Linked DNA regions of Anolis sagrei. The protein of the gene in region 3 purifies or fractionates together with the protein of the main gene of each other region. This does not show direct contact. Links are inferred from orthologs where the notes say so. Each region holds a gene or a part of one and is shown on either strand. Other genes may lie near its edges.

Region 1 (6,980 bases), on a different chromosome or scaffold from region 3:
ACATAGTGGTAACTTAGCAACCAGAACAGATTTTCTGTGGCATTCATAATTATGGATTCAATCCATAGATAGAGTAAAGTGAAGCTACCAGTAGGTGGTGCTGTTGGCCAGTTAAATAACTATTGTAATGAAAATACATTTGTTTTTACCCAGCCTTTAAAGTTCATGCTGAACCCCACAGAAATTCCCCAGTGTTTTGTATAATCCGACCTCTTATAGCACTATTGAAATCATGGAGGAATTTAAAAGGGTCTGGCCCTGAAGGAGAGACCCTGCGGACCCACAAAAAAGAGGGTTCGCTACAATGGTGAGCAAAGAGAAGCCCAATTTAAAAGGTTTTTCCTAAGTTCCCAAAAGAAATCTCACCAAAGTTGAAGGAAGTGCCACCAAGATCATTTTATGGCGATTCAGCTGAAAAGGATGCAAAGCAGCAATATTTCACCAAGCTGAGCATACAGTGTACAAAAATAAAGGCCTTTTTATACATAAAACAGAGCTGCCAGGTTTGAATCTCCCATTCCCCGCCCCTCTGCCGGCTCGACGATGATTGGCTGGCGCTCTACAGCTGGGAGGAGGCTTGGCCACCTCCTGAGCACCTGGGCCAATCGCTGGGCTTCTGCCGTCTTGGCATCCTGACAAATCAGGAGGGAGGCGGGACGAGAGGGAAACAATGGATTCTTGGGAGGATTATGGAGGTAGGAAATGTCCAAACGGCCAACGAGTCCTGGGGCGTGCGAGCCAGCCATTCCTATTGTCATTGAGAAACGTTGATTGTCTGGCAAGCCTGCCATAATCCGGATTTTTCCAGTGCTGAGAGACAGGAACAATGAGGGAATTTTGGCTGTGGTTTCAGTGGGTAAAAGTTGAATCAGTAACAGAATAGGACAAATTGAGATATGATCATAAATGCCAAGTTGAGATATGATCATAAATGCCAAGTGACCGCTTCCTCTGGGGGGCCAACTCCAAGGCCAGAGGTCACAGTCCTTTGTTATTGTCCATGCAAATAGTGTCTTTTGATAAGGGTCTTTTTCAACTGGAGATTTCCTTCTTTCCAGGGTCACAGGGGTGGCTTCTTATATTTTTATACATTTTTCAATAAAGGGGAATTGGGCAAAGGGGTCAGGAAAAGGTCAGATACACAGGGAGGAATATATAAAAATAGAAATCATGTTATAGAAAGCATACCCACTTATCCCTCCCACCAGAGTCCCATAGAAGTTCAAGAGAGCACATAAGTGTAAAGGGAGGTGGTTTCTCAGCAATAAATGTGCTTTTTTTTGTTGTGTCAGGAGCGACTTGAGAAACTCACTTCTGGTGTGAGAGAATTGGCCGTCTGCAAGGACGTTGCCCAAGGACACCTGGATGATTTTGATGTTTTTATCCTTGTGGGAGGCTTCTCTCATGTCCCCACATGAGGAGCTGGAGCTGATAGAGGGAGCTCATCTGCCTCTCCCCTGTCGGTCTTCAGTCCTGCCGGCACAGGGGTTTAACCCACTGCGCCACCAGGGGCTCCACTATAAATGTGCTACCTTCTGCTATATATGAAACCTAGGGAATAAAAACTTGATTAAATGTACGCACTATCTAACATGGGAAGAGTCCTTGTTGTTGTTAGTGTCTTGGCAAATTGACCAAGGCTTAACCCACCGCCTCCTCCTGAGAAAAATGTATAATATCACAAAGGACTACCACCTCACCCGCCTCATAGGAAACCTGCTACAAAACAGGAGCTTTTTTGTTGAGTTCAGGGCCAGAGAAGCAGATGGCGGAAACAGAAGAACGGCCTGCCTCAGGGGAGCGTGCTTGCTCCATCCATGTTCAACATCTACACAGATGACCAGCCACTGCCAGAAGGGACAGAGAGCTTCATCTATGCTGATGATCGTGCCATTACCACTCAAGCAGGGAGCTTTGAGATGGTTGAAGATAAGTTCTCAGAAGCTATAGGTGCTCTTACTGCCTATTACAGGGAAAACCAACTGATCCCTAATCCATCTAAAACACAGACATGCGCCTTTCACCTTAAGAACAGACAAGCATCCCGAGCTCTGAGGATTACCTGGGAAGGAATCCCACTGGAGCATTGCAGCACACCCAAATACCTGGGAGTCACTTTGGACCGTGCTCTGACCTACAAGAAGCACTGCCTGAACATCAAGCAAAAAGTGGGTTCTAGAAACAACATCATACGAAAGCTGACTGGCACAACCTGGGGATCACAACCAGACACAGTGAAGACATCTGCCCTTGCGCTATGCTACTCTGCTGCTGAGTATGCATGCCCAGTGTGGAACACATCTCACCACACTAAAACAGTAGCTGTGGCTCTTAATGAGACATGCCGCATTATCACGGGGTGTCTGCGCCCCACACCACTGGAGAAATTACACTGCTTAGCCGGTATTGCACCACCTGACATCCGCCGGGAAGTAGCAGCCAATAGTGAAAGGACCAAGGCAGAGACATCTCCAGCTCATCCCCTGTTTGGGTATCAGCCAGCACGTCAACGACTTAAATCAAGACATAGTTTTCTTAGATCTACAGAGACACTCGCTGGAACACCCCAGCAAGCGAGAGTCCAAAAGTGGCAGGCCCAAACCCAGCACCTCAATCCATGGGTGATACCAGATGAGAGACTCCCCCCTGGGCACACAGAAGACTGGGCGACTTGGAAGGCGCTGAACAGACTGCGCTCTGGCACCACGAGATGCAGAGCCAATCTTAAGAAATGGGGTTACAGGGTGGAATCCTCGGCATGCGAGTGCGGAGAAGAGCAAACCACTGACCACCTGCTGCAATGCACCCTGAGCCCTGCCACATGCACAATGGAGGACCACCTTGCGGCAACACCAGAGGCACTCCAAGTGGCCAGGTACTGGTCCAAGGACATTTAACCAACTACCAAGTTTGCAAAATCTGTGGGTTTTTTTTTAATCTGTGTATTTGTTTTGTTGTGTTAGAATTGTAACACAATGGTATGGTTGCTGATGACACGATAAATAAATTTATTTATTTATTTATTTATTTATTTACAGTTCTTATATTCCGCCCTTCTCACCCCGCAGGGGACTCAGGGCGGATTACAGTAAACACATATATGGCAAACATTCAATGCCAGTTTGACAAACAACATTTAACAGACAAATACACCGAGGCTATTTAACTTTTTTCTGGCCGCCAGGGGAGTTGCTGCTTTTCATCATCCATCAACAACACCGATGAAGTTCTTCCGCATTCCACATTCCCCGGAGTCTTTTTTCTTTATGGCCTCATAAATTAGTTAAATTTAGCCTCCCACACAAGGTGGTACCTTATTTTCCTACTTGACAGATGCAACTGTCTTTCGGGTTGCAAAGGTCGACAACGGGCTACACAATGGCTGGACACCCACTCCAGCCCGGGCTGGCTTCGAACTCATGACCTTTTTGGTCAGAGTGATCTTAATGCAGCTGACACTCAGCCAGCTGCGCCACAAACCCGTATTATCAAGTCTCATGTGCTTGTCCTTAGCAAAACTATAAGTTACTATCTTTTATGGGGGGGGGGGGGTCATGTTCGACTTCAGTAATCTGTAGTTGCCATCTCACTTTGCGTACTGGATTGTGCCGCCCCTGTCCCAACTCATTCTCCAGGTGTAACCAAGGCTTCTATCCTTGAAGATGAAGGAAGGATGTAGAAAGCTATCGATGCACGAAGTTTCTGTTTTCAGCGACACAGGAAATCCGTGTTTACGGCACGACTTCTAGCCCCAGAAGCTTCCCTCCTTGGCACTTCTGCAGACGAGAAGCCATGTGTGCAAATGCGCACAAACCCGTTCCTCTAGTCAAGAGGGAAGTCAGTTTCTGGTGACTTTGTAAACCGGAAAAAAAAAGAGAAAAGGACAGTGGCTTTCAGCGCAGGGCAATCTGTGACATCTCAGGGCGGTTTGGCCCAGAAGAAGCAGGAAGGCAGTGTTGTGGAGGTGGCTCGGCCTTTTCATCGAGACGGAGAAACCCTACCAGCATGAACCCCGAAGAGCAAATTGTGACCTGGTTGATTTCACTGGGAGCCTTGAACTCCCCGAAAATGAAGGTCGGGGACCCCCTGCAATTCCTCAAAACGTCCCTCAAAGATGGAGTCGTCTTGTGCAAACTCCTTCTCCGACTCCTTCCAGGATCTATAGAGAAGGTAAGGCAGCGTTTCTCAACCTGGGGGTCGCAAGGGCAGGGGCGGCTCAACCATTACGCAAAGTAAGCCTTTGCAGTATAGTTGATTTTGGCCAGGGGCGCTCTTGAGGCGCTCTTGGGGGAAAATAGACCTTGAGGTCTTTCCAAGTTGTGGTCTCATAGGAAATGCTTGTGGCTTGACTACTGCAATGCATTTTTGTTTACGGGCGGCCCTTGGAGACCTCGTGAGAGGCTTCAGTAGGTTGAGAAGTGTTGAAAGGGACGGCAGTGGAGCCATCTAACAGGAAAAGGCCTTCATTGGGTTCCTTTATAGAGCCTAACCCATGAGATCAGTACAAACCACTGTCTCATGTACCCACATCTGACAAAATATGCCCTCACTAGGCATTTACTTGGTCCTCCACAGGGGCGGCTCAACCATTACACAAAGTAAGCCTTTGCAGTATAGTTGATTTTGCCCAGGGGCGCTCTTGAGGCGCTCTTGGAGGAAAATAGACCTTGAGGTCTTTCCAAGTTGTGGTCTCATAGGAAATGCTTGTGGCTTGACTACTGCAATGTATTTTTGTTTACGGGCGGCCCTTGGAGACCTCGTGAGAGGCTTCAGTAGGTTGAGAAGTGTTGAAAGGGACGGCAGTGGAGCCATCTAATAGGAAAAGGCCATCATTGGGTTCCTTTATAGAGCCTAACCCATGAGATCAGTACAAACCACTGTCTCATGTACCCACATCTGACAAAATATGCCCTCACTAGGCATTTACTTGGTCCTCCACAGGGGCGGCTCAACCATTACGCAAAGTAAGCCTTTGCAGTATAGTTGATTTTGCACAGGGGTGCTCTTGAGGTGCTCTTGGGGGAAAATAGACCTTAACATATGCAAGTTGTAGTTACTGGGATGTATAGTTCACCTACAACCAAAGAGCATTCAGAACTCCACCAATGATATAATTGGACCAAATATGGCACACAGAACTCCCACGACGAACAGAAAATATATATCAGTGATTGGTTGGGTGGGTGGGTGGGGTGGGGTGGGGCGCCAAAATACTGTTTGAATACCGTTGAAAATTACCTAGGGCCGCCTCTGCGCGAGGGGGATGTCAGAGGGGTCGCCAAAGACCATCAGAAAACACAATATTTTCTGTTGTTCATGGGGCTTCTGTGAGGGAAGTTTGGCCCAATTCTATCATTGGTGGAGTTCAGAATGCTCTTTGATTGTAGGTGAACTATAAATCCCAGCAACAACTCGCAAAAGTCAAGGTTTATTTTCTCCAAACTTCATCAGTATTCATGTTTGGGCAATGTCCACCAAACCCTTTGAGTATTTTCTGTAGGTCATGGGAGTTCTGTGTGTCAAGTTTTGTTCAATTCTATTGTTGGTGGAGTTCAGAATGCGCTTTGATTGTAGGTGAACTATAAATCCCAGCAACAACTCCCAAATGTCAAGGTTTATTTTCTCCAAACTTCACCAGTATTCACGTTTGGGCAATGTCCACCAAACCTTGGAGTATGTTCTGTAGGTCATGGGAGTTCTGTGTGTCAAGTTATGTTCAGTTTTATTGTTGGTGGAGTTCAGAATGCTCTTTGATTGTAGGTGAACTATAAATCCCAGCAACAACTCCCAAATGTCAAGGTTTATTTTCTACAAACTTCACCAGTATTCACGTTTGGGCAATGTCCACCAAACCTTCAAGTATGTTCTGTACGTCATGGGAGTTCTGTGTGTCAAGTTTTGTTCAATTCTATCGTTGGTGGAGTACAGGTTAACTATAAATCCCAGCAACTCCAACTCCCAAATCACAAAATCAATCTCCCCCAACCCCAACAGCATTCAAATTTGGATGCATCAGATATTTGTGCTAATGTGGTCCAGTGAATGAAAATACATCCTGCATAGCAGATATTTACATTATGATTCATAACAGTAGCAAAATTACAGTTATGAAGTAGAAATGAAAATAATGTTATGGTTGGGGGTCACCACAACAAGAAAGGAGATTCCATCTGAACATGAGGAAGAACTTCCTGTCTGTAAGAGCTGTTCAGCAGTGGAACTCTCTGCCCCAGAGTGTGGTGGAGGCTCCTTCTTTGGAGGCTTTTAACCAGAGGCTGGATGGCCATCTGTCAGGGGTGCTTTGAATGCAATATTCCTGCTTCTTGGCAGGGGGTTGGACTGGATGGCCCATGAGGTCTCTTCCAACTCTAGGATTCTATGATTCTATGATTCCTACTTGGCCGCAGAAATCCATCGGGAAAGTCACACTCTCTCAGCCTCAGAGGAAAGGGAAAGCCATTTGCCTCTAAACAATATTTATGAATATTTGCCTTAGAGTCATCATAAATCGCCAAGCACCTTGAAAGAACATCCACGGCATTCCCCGCACCTATCCAGCTTGTAACTCTATCGAAAAAAGAGATCAGATGCGTCCGGCATGACTTGTTTTTGATAAATCCATGTTGACTATTAGCGATGACCGCATTTGTTTCTAAGTGTTTGCAGACCACTTCCTTAACAATCTTTTCCAGAATCTTGCCTGGTATCGACGTGAGGCTGACCGGATGGTAATTGTTTGGGTCATCCTTGTTTTGCTTCTTGAAGATTGGGACCACATTGGCCTTCCTCCAATCTGCTGGAACTTCTCCCGTTCTCTAAGAACTCTCAAAGATGATTGCCAATGGTTCCGAGATTACTTCTGCTAGTTCCTTCAATACTCTCGGGTGTAGTTGATCTGGCCCTGAAAGGGGACTTGAACTCATTTAGAGTGGCCAGGTATTCCTGGACGACTTGTTTCCCAATTTGGGGCTGGATGTCCT
Region 2 (7,803 bases), on a different chromosome or scaffold from region 3:
AAGGCAGGGTATTGAATAGAATAGGTTTTCTCAGTGAATCTATGTTTGCAACAATACTTTTATTTACTATCTCATTAATTTCAAACCAGACTGAGCCACAGCGAAGTGTGGTCAGGTTTAGCTAGTATATCTATATAAATCTCCCTCTTTAAATAAGATAGAAAGGCAGAACCTATATTGAGATACTGTGCAGACAGAAACCAACCTAATTAATATGCAGTGTCAAATGCTGTATTTAGTTTAGGTTATTATAATCCAGGAATATTGAACTGAAGGAAAATATTTTTAAAATTATTTTTGGAGAAGGAATATGCGATAAATCATTACAACACGGACAATAAACAGATATCCCAAATAATGGGCATCAGTCGGTACAGGTTGAGTGTCCCTTAACCAAAATATTTGGAACTGGAAGTGTTTTGGATCTGATTTTAGATGGTGGGATGTCTGTATTTGCAGATTTGTACATAATGACATATCTTGGAGAAGGGACCCAAGTCGAAACAAGAAATGCATATAGCCTGAATGCACTCTTTTATAGTAATTTTTGTGTGAAGCAATGTTTATGTAAATTGAAGCATTAGAAGCCCTAGTGTGGATCCAGCCTCATGTGGACAATTTTAGATTTGGGAGTATTTCAGATTTCCAAAGTCCGGATAAAGGATGACCAACCTGAACTGATTCTGGTGCCTCCACCTTGCTAGTGGAGTGGGCTGAGTTTATAGCAGTAACAAGCTGTCGGTACTTCAAAAATTTATTTCCAGTTACTGACTCCAATTCCATTTTACTCGAACAACCGGAGGGCTTTCACAGAACATCTTATGACTTCCTACACAAGACACCTCTCAATAGTGGAGACTGGTCATGACGTCCAATCTATTATTTATTTATTTATTTATTTATTTATTTATGCGCTTGTATACCGCTAATATCTCAGCCTAAGTCGGCGACTCATTGCGGTTTACAACAACTAAAAAGTTAAAAACAATTAAAAAACAGTATTCAATTTAAAACATGAAACACATATCTATATGTAAGATAAATCACTCATTCTATATTCTTAAGACTGCAGAAACTATACTTGCAATGGAGTGGACTGAGTGTGTAGCAGCTATGCTTAATCGACAGTAAGAAACTGTAGGTCACACACTTTTTAGACATGCATCACTTCATGACTAGGAAAGTGGAAGTTAAACCAACGCCTTATAAAAGATATAGACATATATATCACTTGTAGTGAAACATGAAAACTTTTCATTTATATTTTTTAAAAATTACTGATTTATTGCTAATTCCACATTGACCACGTGGTTTCTTGTTACCTTCATGCCACACAACTACACACTGCAGCTGATATACTAATGTGTCGCGACACTTAGTTTGAAAGTTCTGCTGTATGTACTTTAGAAATGTATTCCCACTAACTCCAAACCCATTTCACATTAACCAGTGCTTGGATTTCACAGTATACCTCATGGCTTCTTCAGTGGTGGACACTGGTCATGACCTCCAATCAGACATCCTCTCAACGCAGCCAAAGCCAAGCTTTCTAAGGTTTGAGCCACCCTAGGACTTCTTAACCTTTTCGGACCCCTTTCTGCCTGAAAAGAGTTTGTATGACCCAAGGTATATATACAGATAAAACAGGTATACAAAGCAAACATTTACTGATAACCAGCATTTGCAAGGCTTGCTAAACAGGCTGATTTTCCATTTTTATGAAGCACAGCTAAAGCATTTCTTGCAGAGTCCACTGTAAACATTGTAGGTTATTAACTGATTTGTGTAAATGGACAGATTCAAAAACCTTTCACAGTTGCCAAATTTTTCATGATCCCGACATCGAGTTGAAAGGAGACTCCATTTGAGGTTGGGACGCAGTTTACAAAGCAGTGATTTGCACTGTTGGATAACGCAGTCCAAAGTCCAGTATATGCTCAGTGTAGCTCTAGCCCAAGCCTCACTATGGGCCCTTCTACATAGCTGTATAAAATCCAGATTATCTGCTTTGAACTGGATTATCTGGCAGTGTAGACTCAGATAATCCAGTTCAAAGCAGATAACCTGGATGATCTGTCTTGATATTCTGGATTATAAGGCAGTGTAGAAGGGCCCTGAGTGTACTAATAGGAAACAAGACAGTGCTTGTCTGTGTGGGCCCATTCCACACAGCTGAATAAAATCCCACATTTTCTGCATTGGATGAGCTCCCTCTGTCAGCTCCAGCTCCCCATGTAGGTACATGAAAGAAGCCTCCCACAAAGATGGTAAAACATCAAAATATCAGGGCATCTCCTGGGCAACATCCTTGCAGATGGGCAAATTCTCCCACACCAGGAGCGATTTGCAATTTCTCAAGTTGTTCCTGATACACACACAAAAGAAAAAACAAACAAACTCAAAACTATGGGGATCTTCATTGCCAGTGTCTGCTTTGAACTGGATTTTCTGAGTCCACACTGCCATACATTCCTGTCCAAAGCAGAAAATGTGGGGTTTTATTCTGCTGTGTGGAAGGGGCCTGGGTTATGTCTGTGGGCCCTGCCACACAGCCTCATATCCTAGAATATCAAGGCAAAAAATCCCACATTATCTGATAACCCAGTTCAAAGCAGATATTGCGAGATTTCCTGCCTTGAGATGAAGGTTTTAATCCGGATTGGTGACAGATGAGGCCAGGCCCGTAGCCAGGATTTTGTTTGGGGGGGGGGGGCTGAGTTTGTTTGGGGGGGGGTGCTGAGTCTGAGTGAAAGAGGGTCTACCCTAGCAAACATTTTGTATCGTTACCCCAATACCCCAATGCATATGGGACATACTGAGCATGGTGATCAGATCATGATATGAATAAACATAACAGTTTAAATAATGCACCAGTAAGGCCTTCTTGCGGACCACCATGAGAATTTGGGGGGGGGGGGGGGCTGAAGCCCCCCAAGCCCCCCCCCCTGCTACATGCCTAAATGAAGCCCATTTAAGACCCCTTCTACACTTCCCTATATACCATAATCCAATCCCCGATTATTATTTGCTTTTGACTGAGGGTCCTTCCACAAAGCATGAAATCCCACAATATCTACTCTGACCTGGGTTATCAGATAATGTGGGATTTTTTGCCTTGATATTCTAGGATATGAGGCTGTGTGGCAGGACCCACAGACATATAAACCAGGCACCTTCCACACAGCAGAATAAAATCCCACATTTTCTGCTTTGGACACTCAGGTAATGTGGGATTTTCTGCCTTGATATTCTGGGATGTAGGGCTCCGTGGAAGGGCCCTGGGTTATCTGAGTCCACACTCATATAATGTGGGATTTTCTGCCCTGATACTCTGGGATACAGGGCTCTGTGGAAGGGCCCTGGGTTATCTAAGTCCACACTTATATAACGTGGGATTTTCTGCCTTGATATTCTGGGATACAGGGCTGAGTGGAAGGGCCCTGGGGTATCTGAGTCCACACTCATATAACGTGGGATTTTCTGCCTTGATATTCTGGGGTGTAGGGCTCTGTGGAAGGGTCCTGGGTTATCTAATTCCATGCTCATATAATGTGGGATTTTCTGCCTTGATATTCTGGGGTGTAGGGCTCTGTGGAAGGGCCCTGGGTTATCTGAGTGGGATTTTATATAACGTGGGATTTTCTGCCCTGATATTCTGAGATACAGGTCTGTATGAAATGGCCCTGGGCCTACATCCCATATCATATCCTAGAATATCAAGGCAAAAAATCCCACATTGTCTGATAACCCAGTTCAAAGTAGATATTGTGGGATTTCCTGCTTTGTGGAAGGACCCTCAGTCAAATGCTCCACACTCATATAATGTGGGATTTTCTGCCCTGATATTCTGGGATACAGGTCTGTATGGAAGGGCCCTGGGTTATATGAGTCCACACTCATATAATGTGGGATTTTCTGCCTTGATATTCTGGGATTTAGGGCTGTGTGGAAGGGCCCTGGGTTATCTGAGTCCATGGTCATAAAATGTGGGATTTTCTGCCTTGACATTCTGGGATGTAGGGCTCCGTGGAAGGGCCCTGGATTATCTGAGTCCACACTCGTATAATGTGGGATTTTCTGTCTTGACATTCTGGGATGTAGGGCTGCATGGAAGGGCCCTGGGTTATCTAGGGGCCTTTCCACACAGCCGTATAAACGAGAATATCTAGGCAAAAAATCCCACAATATCTGCTTTGAACCGTGTTTCCACACTACCATATATTCCAGTTGAAAGCAGAAAATGTGGTGTTTTATTCAGCTGTGTGGAAGGGGCCTAAGTCCACACTGAGGTAATGTGGAAGGATCCCCCAAGGATCCTAAGAGGGCAGTGTGGAAAGAGGCCTGAGGCTGCGGCCTTCCCTGCCTAAAATGAAAGGCGAAGGGGAGGGGGAATGGCGCTGGTGTCACGGCCGAGGCCTGTGTGGAGAGACAGAAAGAGAGAGAGTGGGAGGGAGAGGGGGGGAGAGAGAGAGAGTCGGCGCAATAGTCGCCCTTCGAAGCCATTCCCCTTCGTGAGTGTGTGTGGTGGTGTGTGTGTGCGCGCGAGGGGCCCCTCCGGCTGCCTCCCCTTGCGCCGTGCTCGCGCCGTGCGCCTGTCTCGCGAGCGGGGATCCCTCTCCGGCTGCCCCCGCCGTCGCCTGGGCCTCGGCCTGGTTGGCGACCGGGGAACACGTGAGGGAGGCGGCGGGCGGGCAGGCAGGCGGGCGGGCGGGCTGCGGGAAGAAGGAGAGGGAGGAGAAGGCGAGGCGGCGGCCGGAGTTCCCCCAACAGCTGGAGGTGGCCGCTCGCTCCAAGTTGTTGTGTCGGCCGCGGCTCCTCCTCTTTCTGCTCCCCTTGCTCGCTTCCCCTCAGCAGCAGCAGCCGCCTCCTCCTCCTCCTCTTCTCGCTCCTCCTTATTGACAAATACACAAAGGGCCGCAGCCGCCGGGCTGGAGACGCGTCTGGAGCCGGCATGGGAGACAAGAAGAGCCCCACAAGGTGAGCCTGCGAGGAGGGCGGCCAGGGGGTTGTTCTCGTGAGGGGCTTCTTCCTCGTCGCCCTCTCTCCCGCCTCCTCTTGTGGCGCGATGGCGGGGAGGCGAAAAGGGACGAGGAAAGGAGAGGAAGCCTGATCACTAGGCCAAGCGAGAGGAGGAGAAGGAGAAAGAGGAGGAGGAGGCACCGGCGGAATAGGTCTCCTCGGGTCGCTTACAAAAGCCTCCCGGTGCCTCTCTCTCTCTCCTTCCCCCGCTCGCTCTCCCCTCCTTATCCTTCCTCCCCTTTTCCCCTCCTCCTTATCCTCCCCCTCTTTCTCTCTCTTTTTATTTCCCGATTCTTTTTAGGCCGAAGCGGCAGCCGAAACCCTCCTCCGACGAGGGCTACTGGGACTGCAGCGTCTGCACCTTCCGCAACAGCGCCGAGGCCTTCAAGTGCATGATGTGCGATGTGAGGAAGGGCACCTCCACCCGGTGAGTGAGCGAGAGGAGACACACACACACACACACACAGCGAGGGAGAGGCCTGAGTGAGTGGCACCGCAGCCCTCCTCCAGCAGAACGGGAGGGAATGGCGGCGAAGGGAGGGAAAGGCCCAAGGAGGCTGCAGGGAGAGCAGAGAGAGAAGGAAGGGAGGAAGGATGGCGGGGAAGGGACAGCAGAGCCGGCCACCATCGCAGCCTTGCTCCTGATCGCCGCCTTTTCTCGGCAAGGGTGACAGGAGGGAGTGGAAGGGATTCCTTTCGCAGGGCCCTTGCACACAGCCCTATAACACAAGAATATCGTGGCAGAAAATACCACAATATCTGCTTTGAAGTGGGTTAACTGAGTCCAATTCAAAGCAGAAAATGTGGGATTTTCTGCCTTGATGTTCTGAGTTATAAGGGCCCTCAGACAACCCAGTTCAAAGCAGATATTATGGGATTTCCTGCCTTGATATTCTGGGTTCTATGGCTGTGTGGAAGGGCCCTCAGATAACTCAGTTCAAAGCAGATATTGTGGGATATTTGGCATTGATATTCTGGTTTTTGTGACTATGTAGAAGGACCTTCAGATAACCCAGTTCAAAGTAGGTATTGTGGAATTTCCTGCCTTGATATTCTAGGTTCTATAGCTGTGTTGAAGGGCCCTCAGATAACCCAGTTCAAAGCAGATATTTTGTGGAACTTCCTGCCTTGATATTCCGGGATATAGGACTGTGGAAGGGCCCTCAGATAACCCAGTTCAAAGCAGATATTGTGGAATTTCCTGCCTTGATATTCTGGGTTCTATGGCTGTGTGGAAGGACCCTCAGATAACTCAGTTCAAGGCAGATATTGTGGGATATTTGGCATTGATATTCTGGGTTTTCTGACTATGTAGAAGGACCTTCAGATAACCCAGCACAAAGTAGATATTGTGGAATTTCCTGCCTTGATATTCTAGGTTCTATAGCTGTGTAGAAGGGCCCTCAGATAACCCAGTTCAAGGCAGATATTGTGGAATTTCCTGCCTTGATATTCTGGGGCCCCTTCCACATAGCTGTATAAAATCCCAAATTTTCTGCTTTGAACTGGAATATATGGCAGTGTGGACTCAGGACCCTTCCATACAGCCCTATATCCCAGAATATCAAGGCAGAAAAATCTCACAATATCTGCTTTGAACTGGGTTATCTGAGGACCCTTCTGCACAGCCCTATATCCCAGAATATCAAGGCAGAAAACCCCACATTATCTGAATGTGGACTCAGATAACCCAGTTCAAAGTAGATATTATAGGATTTTTGGCCTTGATATTCTGGGGTTCTATGGCTGTGTAGAAGGGCCCTTAGATAACCCAGTTCAAGGTAGATATTGTGGAATTTCCTGCCTTGATATTCTGGGGCCCCTTCCACATAGCTGTATAAAATCCCACATTTTCTGCTTTGAACTGGAATATATGGCAGTGTGGACTCGGGACCCTTCCACACAGCCCTATATCCCAGAATATCAAGGCAGAAAATCCCACCTTATCTGAGTGAGGACTCAGATAACCCATTTAAAAGCAGATATTGTGGAATTTCCTGCTTTGATATTCAGGGATATAGGGCTGTGTGGAAGGGTCCTCCAATAACCCAGGATCCATCCACACAGCCCTATATCCCAGAATGTCATGGCAGAAAATCCCACATTATCTGAGTTTGGATTTAGATAGCCCAGTTCAAAGCAGATATTGTGGGATTATCTGGCCTCCAATAACCCAGGGCCCTTCCACACAGCTTTATATCCTAGAGTATAAAGGCGGAAATATCCGCTTTGAACTGGGTTATCTGAATTCACACTGCCATATATTCCAGTTCAAAGCAGAAAACGTGAGATTCTCTGCCTTGATATCTGGGTTATATTGCTGTGTGGAAGGGACCTGGGATACATATTAAGCATCTCTTATCCAGGATTATGAAACACAGTAGACTCTCTAGGGATTGGTAGACACTGGATATAAGTGTCCTTTCCCATTGCTTCAGGGTTACTGTTAAAAATAGGCCCAACTGAAATCTATGCCTCATACTATACCGTGTCATATGCTCTGTACAGGCAGTCCTCAAGTTACGAACATGATCAGTTCTGTAGGTTTGTTCTTAAGTTAGATTTGTATGTAAGTCAAATAATAATAGTAATAATAATGGAATACCATGTATCAGTTTCTTTCCAAATGAATAACTTAACTTCCACATGTTATTTACAATATTGCTGTATAAAACATGGTTTCTATTGTTTTCATTTGATCTGACGAGGAAACAAACTAAAATGATGGAGAATGCTTATACAGGCAGTCCCCAAGTTATGAATTACATAGTTTCTTTAGGTTTG
Region 3 (7,602 bases):
TGAAGAAGACTGATTCTTTCTGCTATTATCAACTCCTTTAGTTTCAGCATAACTAGACCAGCAGAGGAATAGAATTTAGCCTATAAGCTTAAACAGAAAAAAGGAGTGATAACATCCTGAAGACTAAAAACATTAATTGTGACATAAACTTTTGTGAACACTGCATCCAATGCACAATAGCTAGCAAATATGGTGGCCTTTGGTATCCAATGGTTGGTTGAATGAAGTGGATGTCCACCTGTGAATACTTAAGGGCAGCAGTATACATGAGTGTACACACACATATATGCACAATATTAACAATACCTATTTGAAAGAAGTCAGCAGTTTACTAATATACTTATATATATACACACACACACACACACACACACATACACACACTATATATCACAAACTTTCAGTTAGAATTTCAATAATACTTCATTAATTTAGGAACTAATCTATTTCTACTGTGAGAATTTCTGAACCACTTCTTTCCATTGCATCAAGTATCACCACAATGTCCTTACCTTCCAACATGGTCTTTATGGTTACAGACTGTTTTGCAATTTCAACATCAACTTCAAATATTTCTCCATCAGAACTCTGCAGTTTAATTGAAGGCATCTATAAAAGGAAAATAATAGCCGATATTCTTAGAGCCATAGGCTTACATGATAGTCCTGCTTCATATTAACTGACATACTGATATGTCAAGTACAAGAGATTTAAAATTGAGGGTAAGCTGAGATTTTCTTATGTTGCCATACACAAAGTATTTTGAAGTTCTCTTAACACCATGTACAATAATCTTCATACCTCTGAAAAGCAGGGCAATATTATCCCCAAAGTGCAGTTGCAGAGCTGGCCATAGCAATGGCTACTAAAAGTCATATATTGAATTCATAAGTAAAATATTTTTTAAAGAATTCTACATTGACCTGTGCTTATTCTGTACCTCCATACTATATCTACAGAGTGTACTAGAGTAAAGTAGGTATATTTAGATAATATTGCAGATAATTTCAATATCTCATTTTAGGTTTGAACAAAAGAATACATTATAGGAACACTAATAAATTGGTTTCTTCTACCTGACTTATCTGTGACCCTTTGATGCTTGCCTTGTTCACTTTAAGCAATCCTTTGTTACCTGCAGTATGGAGTAGTCCCCTTCAAATAAATAATGTTTGAGTTACAGATTCAAAGAACTATTTGGGTACTTTTACAAAGATTTGATTCCTGGCAAGAACTCTGGATTCCAGTCATCCGGATTTTGTACTAGGCAATCATCCAAGATATGATACTGCAGTTTTAAACAACGTAATGCGTATTTCTTCTCAGCATCAGAGGATGCTGCATCATATTTTGAATTTCTATAATTTGATTAAGACAATAGTTCTAAACCAGTCTTTTGCTTATATACTTTGCAGGGTATCTAGAAGTTCTGAAATTCCTAATTAAAGTGACTTTTTAAAAATACTGAAGCCATGCACAAATTATTATATTTGATCATAATTATTTCTAGCCTGTGATAAAAGTATGAAATACTGAACAAGGAGAACATTATTATTTTTGTAGAAGAATGCCTCAGGTTCATGCCATAATAGTAAATACTTCCCATAGCCTTTGTCAAAGGACATTTGCCAACTGCCATTTAATAGGCCTCTTTTTACAGATGATTATTTTGAAACTAATAGTAGATGTGAAAACATTCAACTCTTTAAAAAAATCTGATTGGAATATCTGTAAACATCTATGAGTGATGCCAACTCCAGTTCTTTGGACTTCAGATTCCAGAATCTCGGACTAATTGGTCAAGTTGCTGAGGCTGCTGCGATTTGAAGTCCAAAACACTTTAGGAACCAGAAATCACTTACCTAGTTGCACAATGATTATACCAGCCAATCTTAAAACTGTGCCGTTTTTAAATATCGTTTTATTTTTACTTTACTATATATATGCTCCATTACACAAAATATTTTTAAGATTATATTCACGTTTTAATTGTGTTGTTTTTAATTGTATTGTGTCATGTTCACTGTTTTGGCATGTCAAGAGAAAGGTGGCATAACAATAAACAAAAACATTGAAATCCGACTTTGGGCAGCCTCTTGTCAAGAGGACACACTGTACCCAATTGTAGTAATGTTTACGATGACTGATCTAGGTGGAACTATTCAAAACAACTAACTCTCGATCCAACCAACTACCTCAGTGATAAATATAAATTATTACAATTATGTTTATTTATATACCACTGGCTCAAAGCCTTGGCAGGGTTATTTAATATTAAAACTATTGTCATTTAAAAAATATATTAAAAATATTAAGCAGTTCCAGAATATATGCCTAGAGTGACTAAGCAAGTATTCTCTGTAGTAAACAAGACGGTACTTCTGGCAATAACATATTTGGTTGGCCCTGAATCTTCCCAACTACATACAGAGAGGAGGAGCTACTTGGAAAACTCAGGACTCAATCCCTTCACGGAAATACTGGCCAGGGATTACATCACTGGCGAGGAAGCGAAGAGAGCCATTTTATGATGCTACTGAAAGGTAGGTGATCCCAGATAGAGATATTCTGTATATACACACACGCTTCCCTTAATATAATAGACGACTATAAGATGGGAGGCAAGAGGACATTCCTCTCTGGGGTCCCAAGACAAGGAAGCTAAGAAGGTCGAGGCAGAGAAGGGAAAGGAATCCCGGCTAAGTTCCTAAGTCACCCATCCTTCCTTTCTCCTTTCCCTTCGTCGGAGGCGGGAGGCCTCTCCCTTAGCAACCACCTGCGCGGAGCCTCCGCGCCGCCGCCCTCGCCTCACCAGGCCTCCCTCCGCTGTCTCCTCGGCTCTCCAAGCCAAACCCGTGTGGAGTGAGGCCTACTCCCGGACCAGGCCTCAGCCTCGCTCACCGTGAACGCAGCTGCGGCAGCAACGCCTCGTAGCTCCACCCGCCTCGACACTAAACCCGAGCGCGCTCAGGTCGCGCGCCGCCGCACGCTTTTTATAGTTCTGGGGGCGGGGCGGGATTCGAGGCTGACTCCGCCCTCTTCGCCTCCGAAGGATAGGCGCCTAATGAAAGTGCCTGCGCTGGAGGAAAAGCGGGGCGGGAGGATGGAGGAACAGCGGAAGACGGGCAGGCGGGACGGAGGGAGGTAGGGGAGAGCCAGGCACTTCCAGGCGCACTGTTTCCCGAAAAAGGGATGAGAGGAAAACGCTGGAAAAGCACGGGAGAGACATCCCGCCTCGACTACTGCAACGCTCTCTACGTGGGGCTGCCCTTGAAGACGGCCCGGAAGCTTCAGCTAGTACAGCGCGCGGCAGCCATGTTGTTAACGGGGGCTGGACGCAGAGAGCATACAACGCCTCTGCTGTCTCAGCTCCACTGGCTGCCGATTTGCTACCGGGCCCAATTTAAGGTGCTGGTGTTATCCTACAAAGCCCTAAACGGTTCCGGCCCAAAATACCTCGCAGACCGCATCTCGGCCTACGAGCCCACGAGGGCCTTGAGATCATCCGGGGAGGCCCTTCTCTCGGTCCCGCCTGCCTCACAGGCACGTCTGGCGGGGACGAGGGAGCGGGCCTTCTCGGTGGTGGCCCCCCGGCTGTGGAACACTCTCCCTGCTGAAGTTAGACAGGCGCCCTCCTTGATGGCCTTTCGTAGGGGCCTAAAAACATGGCTCTTTGAACAGGCCTTCAATTGAGTGTAGTTAAATTGACAATGGAATGAACTAGGACTACGAATTTCGGCTATGACCCCAGGACTTGACGAAGCGGATTTTTAGTATAAGTATATGTTATGTTGTATCCGTCTGGTTTGTATTGTCTTTATTTACTGTACATTGTCTTGTTGTTGTTGTTCACCGCCCCGAGTCGCCTTCGGGCTGAGAGGGGCGGTCAATAAGTGCAAGAAATAAATAAATAAATAAATAATAAGAGGCCCTTCACTTCCTTGGGGTCCTTCAGGCAGAATCCATGGCCGCCTACGTAGGAAACAAACGCTCCCAAGGAAACCGTCGCCTCGCATTGGCGGCCATTCTGGCGCGCGTCATAAACGTAAGGGCGGCGCTGGCCAACCCGACGTGCTTCAGAGTAGTACAGGCACGGGCAAGCCTGGGCCCTCCCTCCAGGGGGGTTGGATTTCCATTCCCACCATTCCCAACAGCCTCAGGGCCTTTCCTTTCCCCCCTCAGCCGCTGAAGCGAAGAGGGAAGGGCTTGGGCCTGTTAGGAAAACACCTGGAGGGCCCACGTTTGCCCTGGATGCTGTCAGGCCCGAACTCCCCTACTCTTAAAGATACAGGCTCTAAATTATATATCCTGCCTTTGGAGGCAGCATATTAGTAGCATCACGAACTTCATTTTAACGTAGAAGAACTGTTTAACAATAATATAACGGGGCATTGAACCAAGCCAACGCTGGATCTGGACCAAACTTGGCACATAGAGCCATTGTGCCCAACAGTGAATACAGGCAGGGATTGGGGAATGATTGCCCTTTTCAAATGGTAGTTGTTGTTTACCTGGATTCAGGAAGCACCGAAGGCAGCCAACATCATATCTGGACCAAACACGGCCAACTGTGCATACAGGACAGGCGGGGATTGGGAGTGATTGACCTTGTATCTGAGAGTTATCCAGAGGGCACTGAACCAAGCAAACGCTGGATCTGGACTAAACTTGGCGCATGGAGCCAATGTGCCCAACTGTTCATAGAGGCATGGATTAGGGAATGATTGCCCCTTTTCAAATGGGAGTTGTTGTTTACCTGGATCCAGAGAGGTCTCAGAAGGCAGTCGACAGGCTCGACTCACGGGCACAAAGGCCTATTGCAGCCTCCGAGCGGTCTGTGGTGCAGCAGCATCCTCTTTGGCGCCAGGGCTGTCAGCGCACTCCCCTGCCTCTCCTGGCACTGAAGGCTGAAACCAGGGGCACCGAAGAGGAAAGTGAGTGCGCCGAGGGCCCAGGCACAGACAAGGACACCACTGGGCCCTTTTTGCGGACTATCCTGAGAATTTGGGGGGGGGGGTGAAGCACCTCAACCCCCCCCCCCCTCGGCTACATGTATGGCTGCTGTAGTAGCTGCGAGCTCGCTTGCACCTGTGGGCTGTTGCCCCTCATTTGAGCAGAGAACACATGCGTCTACTTTGTTGTGTTCATCCCACAGTATTACCTACATTGTCAGGAATCTGGTATGAGCTGTTCACGCCACAGAAAGCCACACTTTTTCAGAAGTCGCCCAGAACTTTTGTTCTACAAGTTGTGTGAAGAGCCTTCCAGGTCTAGATACCCTGATCCCCTCTGATGTTGGAGGATTAATGGGGTTAGCCCTGGTTAGTACTTGGATGGCAGGCGCAAACTAAGAATCCCAGTGGCTGTGGGCTGTTTCAGAGGAAGGGAACTCCTGGGGCCTAAAATGGAGTAACTTAAAGGCATGCCACATACTGCTGCTCCTTGCCACATCCTCAGCAGGTGCCTTATTTCAGCAATACCATGTCAGACTATACAGAGAAGCCATTGAAATCCATAAGCATGTGGAGAATTTCAACAGAAAGGAGGAAACTATGAAAATGAACAAAATCTGTCTACCTATATTGAAAAAAACCCTCTAAAATCAAAACAGTAAATAAAGAACAACTCAAAAGGGGGAATTCCAGACAAGAAACAATCAGGGCCAGTTAATCACTCCCCCCCCCCCCCCTACACACACACACAAGATTCTCCCCGGCAGGAAGCAGGCAGACCTTGAAACTGCAAGGCTATTAAATGCTAATCAAGGTGGCCAATTGAAACATTTGCGCCTGCCTCAAACAGACATGAGTTATTTCTCCCACCCTGGACATTCCACAGATATATAAATCCCACTTTCCTAGTTTCCAACAGACCTTACAACCTCTGAGGATGCCTGCCATAGATCCAGGCAAAACGTTGGGAGAAAATGCTTCTGGAACAAGACCATACAGCCTGAAAAACTTACAGCAACCCAGTACAGGTATAAATTGAGCATCCCTTATCCAGAATTCTGAAATCCTCCCAAAGCATCGCCTTGGGTAGCTGAGATAGGGGCGCTTGTGCTTTCTAATGGTTCTGATGGTACACATACATTGTTTCTTGGGCCAAATTATTAAACGTTGTATAGAGTTACTGGGATGAGGGAATTGTGAATGCTGTGGGCTGCATTTCAGAGGAAGGAACTTACAAACCCACCTGTGAATATCCGTTACCTAAGAAAACCCAATGAATATGAATATGAAGGACTCACCATAAGTCTACGGACTCCTTGATGTGTTATGTCTATACAGATATTTTTAAATTGAGGTTGAGGTCAGGATGACTATGCACCACTCCCAGTATGGAAACGGAATGCCTCAATTTATCAGATGGTAGGGGAAATGCAGGCGAAGGTGTGTTATCATGTGAAGTCTTTCACCGTTGGATTAAGAGGCCTTCGGCCTGACTCCACATAGACATTTATTATGCCCAACAGAATAGGCACATAAAGTCCATGCAGCTAAAGCTATTGTACAGCCTTTTCATATTGCCTGGATCCAACTGGCACCTGATACCATTCTATTAGTATTGTGTTTGCTTTCTTATTAGGCCATATTACTGTAATTTCACCCAGGGAGGATCATCTCGGTAAAATTCAAATGACTACTAATTAAAACTCTTACATTTATGATCTTTTGATTTATCTCTCTCGATTTGAATACCTCTCAGCAGTAAAACACAACTGATTGCCAAATCTGAACCCTTAAAATCTATTTTTTTGATCTGGATAGTTAACTATCAGAGGAAAAAAAACTCATCTATAGAAAAAGAATCCTATTAATATCCTGTTTTCCTTACACAGCTCTCAAATGCGAAACATCTTCCAGACGGGGAGGGGGAGGGAGGGGTTATTCTTTTTCTCTCACAGACATGACAGAAAAATCCCTTCTCTGAACATGCTATTAGTATTTAAGTGATGTTCCCTTTGAAGTGCAAGTAGCAGCTTCAATGGCACTCTTTTTGCCAGGAGTAGCCATAGGAAGGGAAAGACCTTCAGGTCCCCCATCCACGGTCCTGAAGCTGTGCAGGTTTTCTCATGGCCATTATTTGCACAGTAAAAGGGAAAGGTTTGCTTACCTATAACTGTAGTTCGCCGCGTGGTCATCACACAAAGAGGTCCTGTGTGCAGTGCAAGTTTCAAAACCTTAAAGCCATGCAACCCACCCACTCCCTTTGGGGGGAGCAATAGCTCACCTACTCAGTTCAGGCCATGCCACTGTGCTTCCTGCCTAACCCTCAACTCCATGGACACCCAAGTAGCAGCATTCAAGGATCTAAAGCAGGGGTCCTTAAACTAAGGCCCGAGGGCCGAATCCGGCCCTCCAAGGTCATTTACCCGGCCCTCGCTCAGGGTCAACCTAAGTCTGAAATGACTTGAAAGCACACGACAACAATCCTATCTCATCAGCCAAAAGCAGGCCCACACTTCCCATTGGAATACTAATAAGAGTACATTTATTAAAATTTGTTCTTTATTTTAATTATTGTATTGTTGTTAAGTATTTTTTGCACTACAAATAAGATATGTGCAGTGTTTTTAGGAATTCATTGGTTTTTTTTCAA

What was found. Proteins that work in one complex are often made in the same cells at the same time.
Region 1: the proteins of SKP1 (region 3) and ARHGEF6 purify together in Homo sapiens (affinity purification with mass spectrometry; 3 studies listed by BioGRID and IntAct, with this or other methods). This does not show direct contact. The link is inferred for Anolis sagrei from reciprocal best matches to the Homo sapiens genes SKP1 and ARHGEF6.
Region 2: the proteins of SKP1 (region 3) and YAF2 purify together in Homo sapiens (affinity purification with mass spectrometry; 3 studies listed by BioGRID and IntAct, with this or other methods). This does not show direct contact. The link is inferred for Anolis sagrei from reciprocal best matches to the Homo sapiens genes SKP1 and YAF2.

Annotation. Positions count from the first base shown.
Region 1 is NC_090030.1:25,206,470-25,213,449, reverse strand, and holds the start of ARHGEF6 (rho guanine nucleotide exchange factor 6), read left to right. Parts: upstream 1-3,875; 5' UTR 3,876-4,005; coding exon 4,006-4,170; intron 4,171-6,980. UniProt on the Homo sapiens protein: Acts as a RAC1 guanine nucleotide exchange factor (GEF).
Region 2 is NC_090025.1:136,447,249-136,455,051, reverse strand, and holds the start of YAF2 (YY1-associated factor 2), read left to right. Parts: upstream 1-4,698; 5' UTR 4,699-4,951; coding exon 4,952-4,977; intron 4,978-5,320; coding exon 5,321-5,446; intron 5,447-7,803. UniProt on the Homo sapiens protein: Binds to MYC and inhibits MYC-mediated transactivation. Also binds to MYCN and enhances MYCN-dependent transcriptional activation. Increases calpain 2-mediated proteolysis of YY1 in vitro.
Region 3 is NC_090022.1:92,082,101-92,089,702, reverse strand, and holds the start of SKP1 (S-phase kinase-associated protein 1), read right to left. Parts: upstream 3,009-7,602; 5' UTR 2,902-3,008; intron 610-2,901; coding exon 513-609; intron 1-512. UniProt on the Homo sapiens protein: Essential component of the SCF (SKP1-CUL1-F-box protein) ubiquitin ligase complex, which mediates the ubiquitination of proteins involved in cell cycle progression, signal transduction and transcription.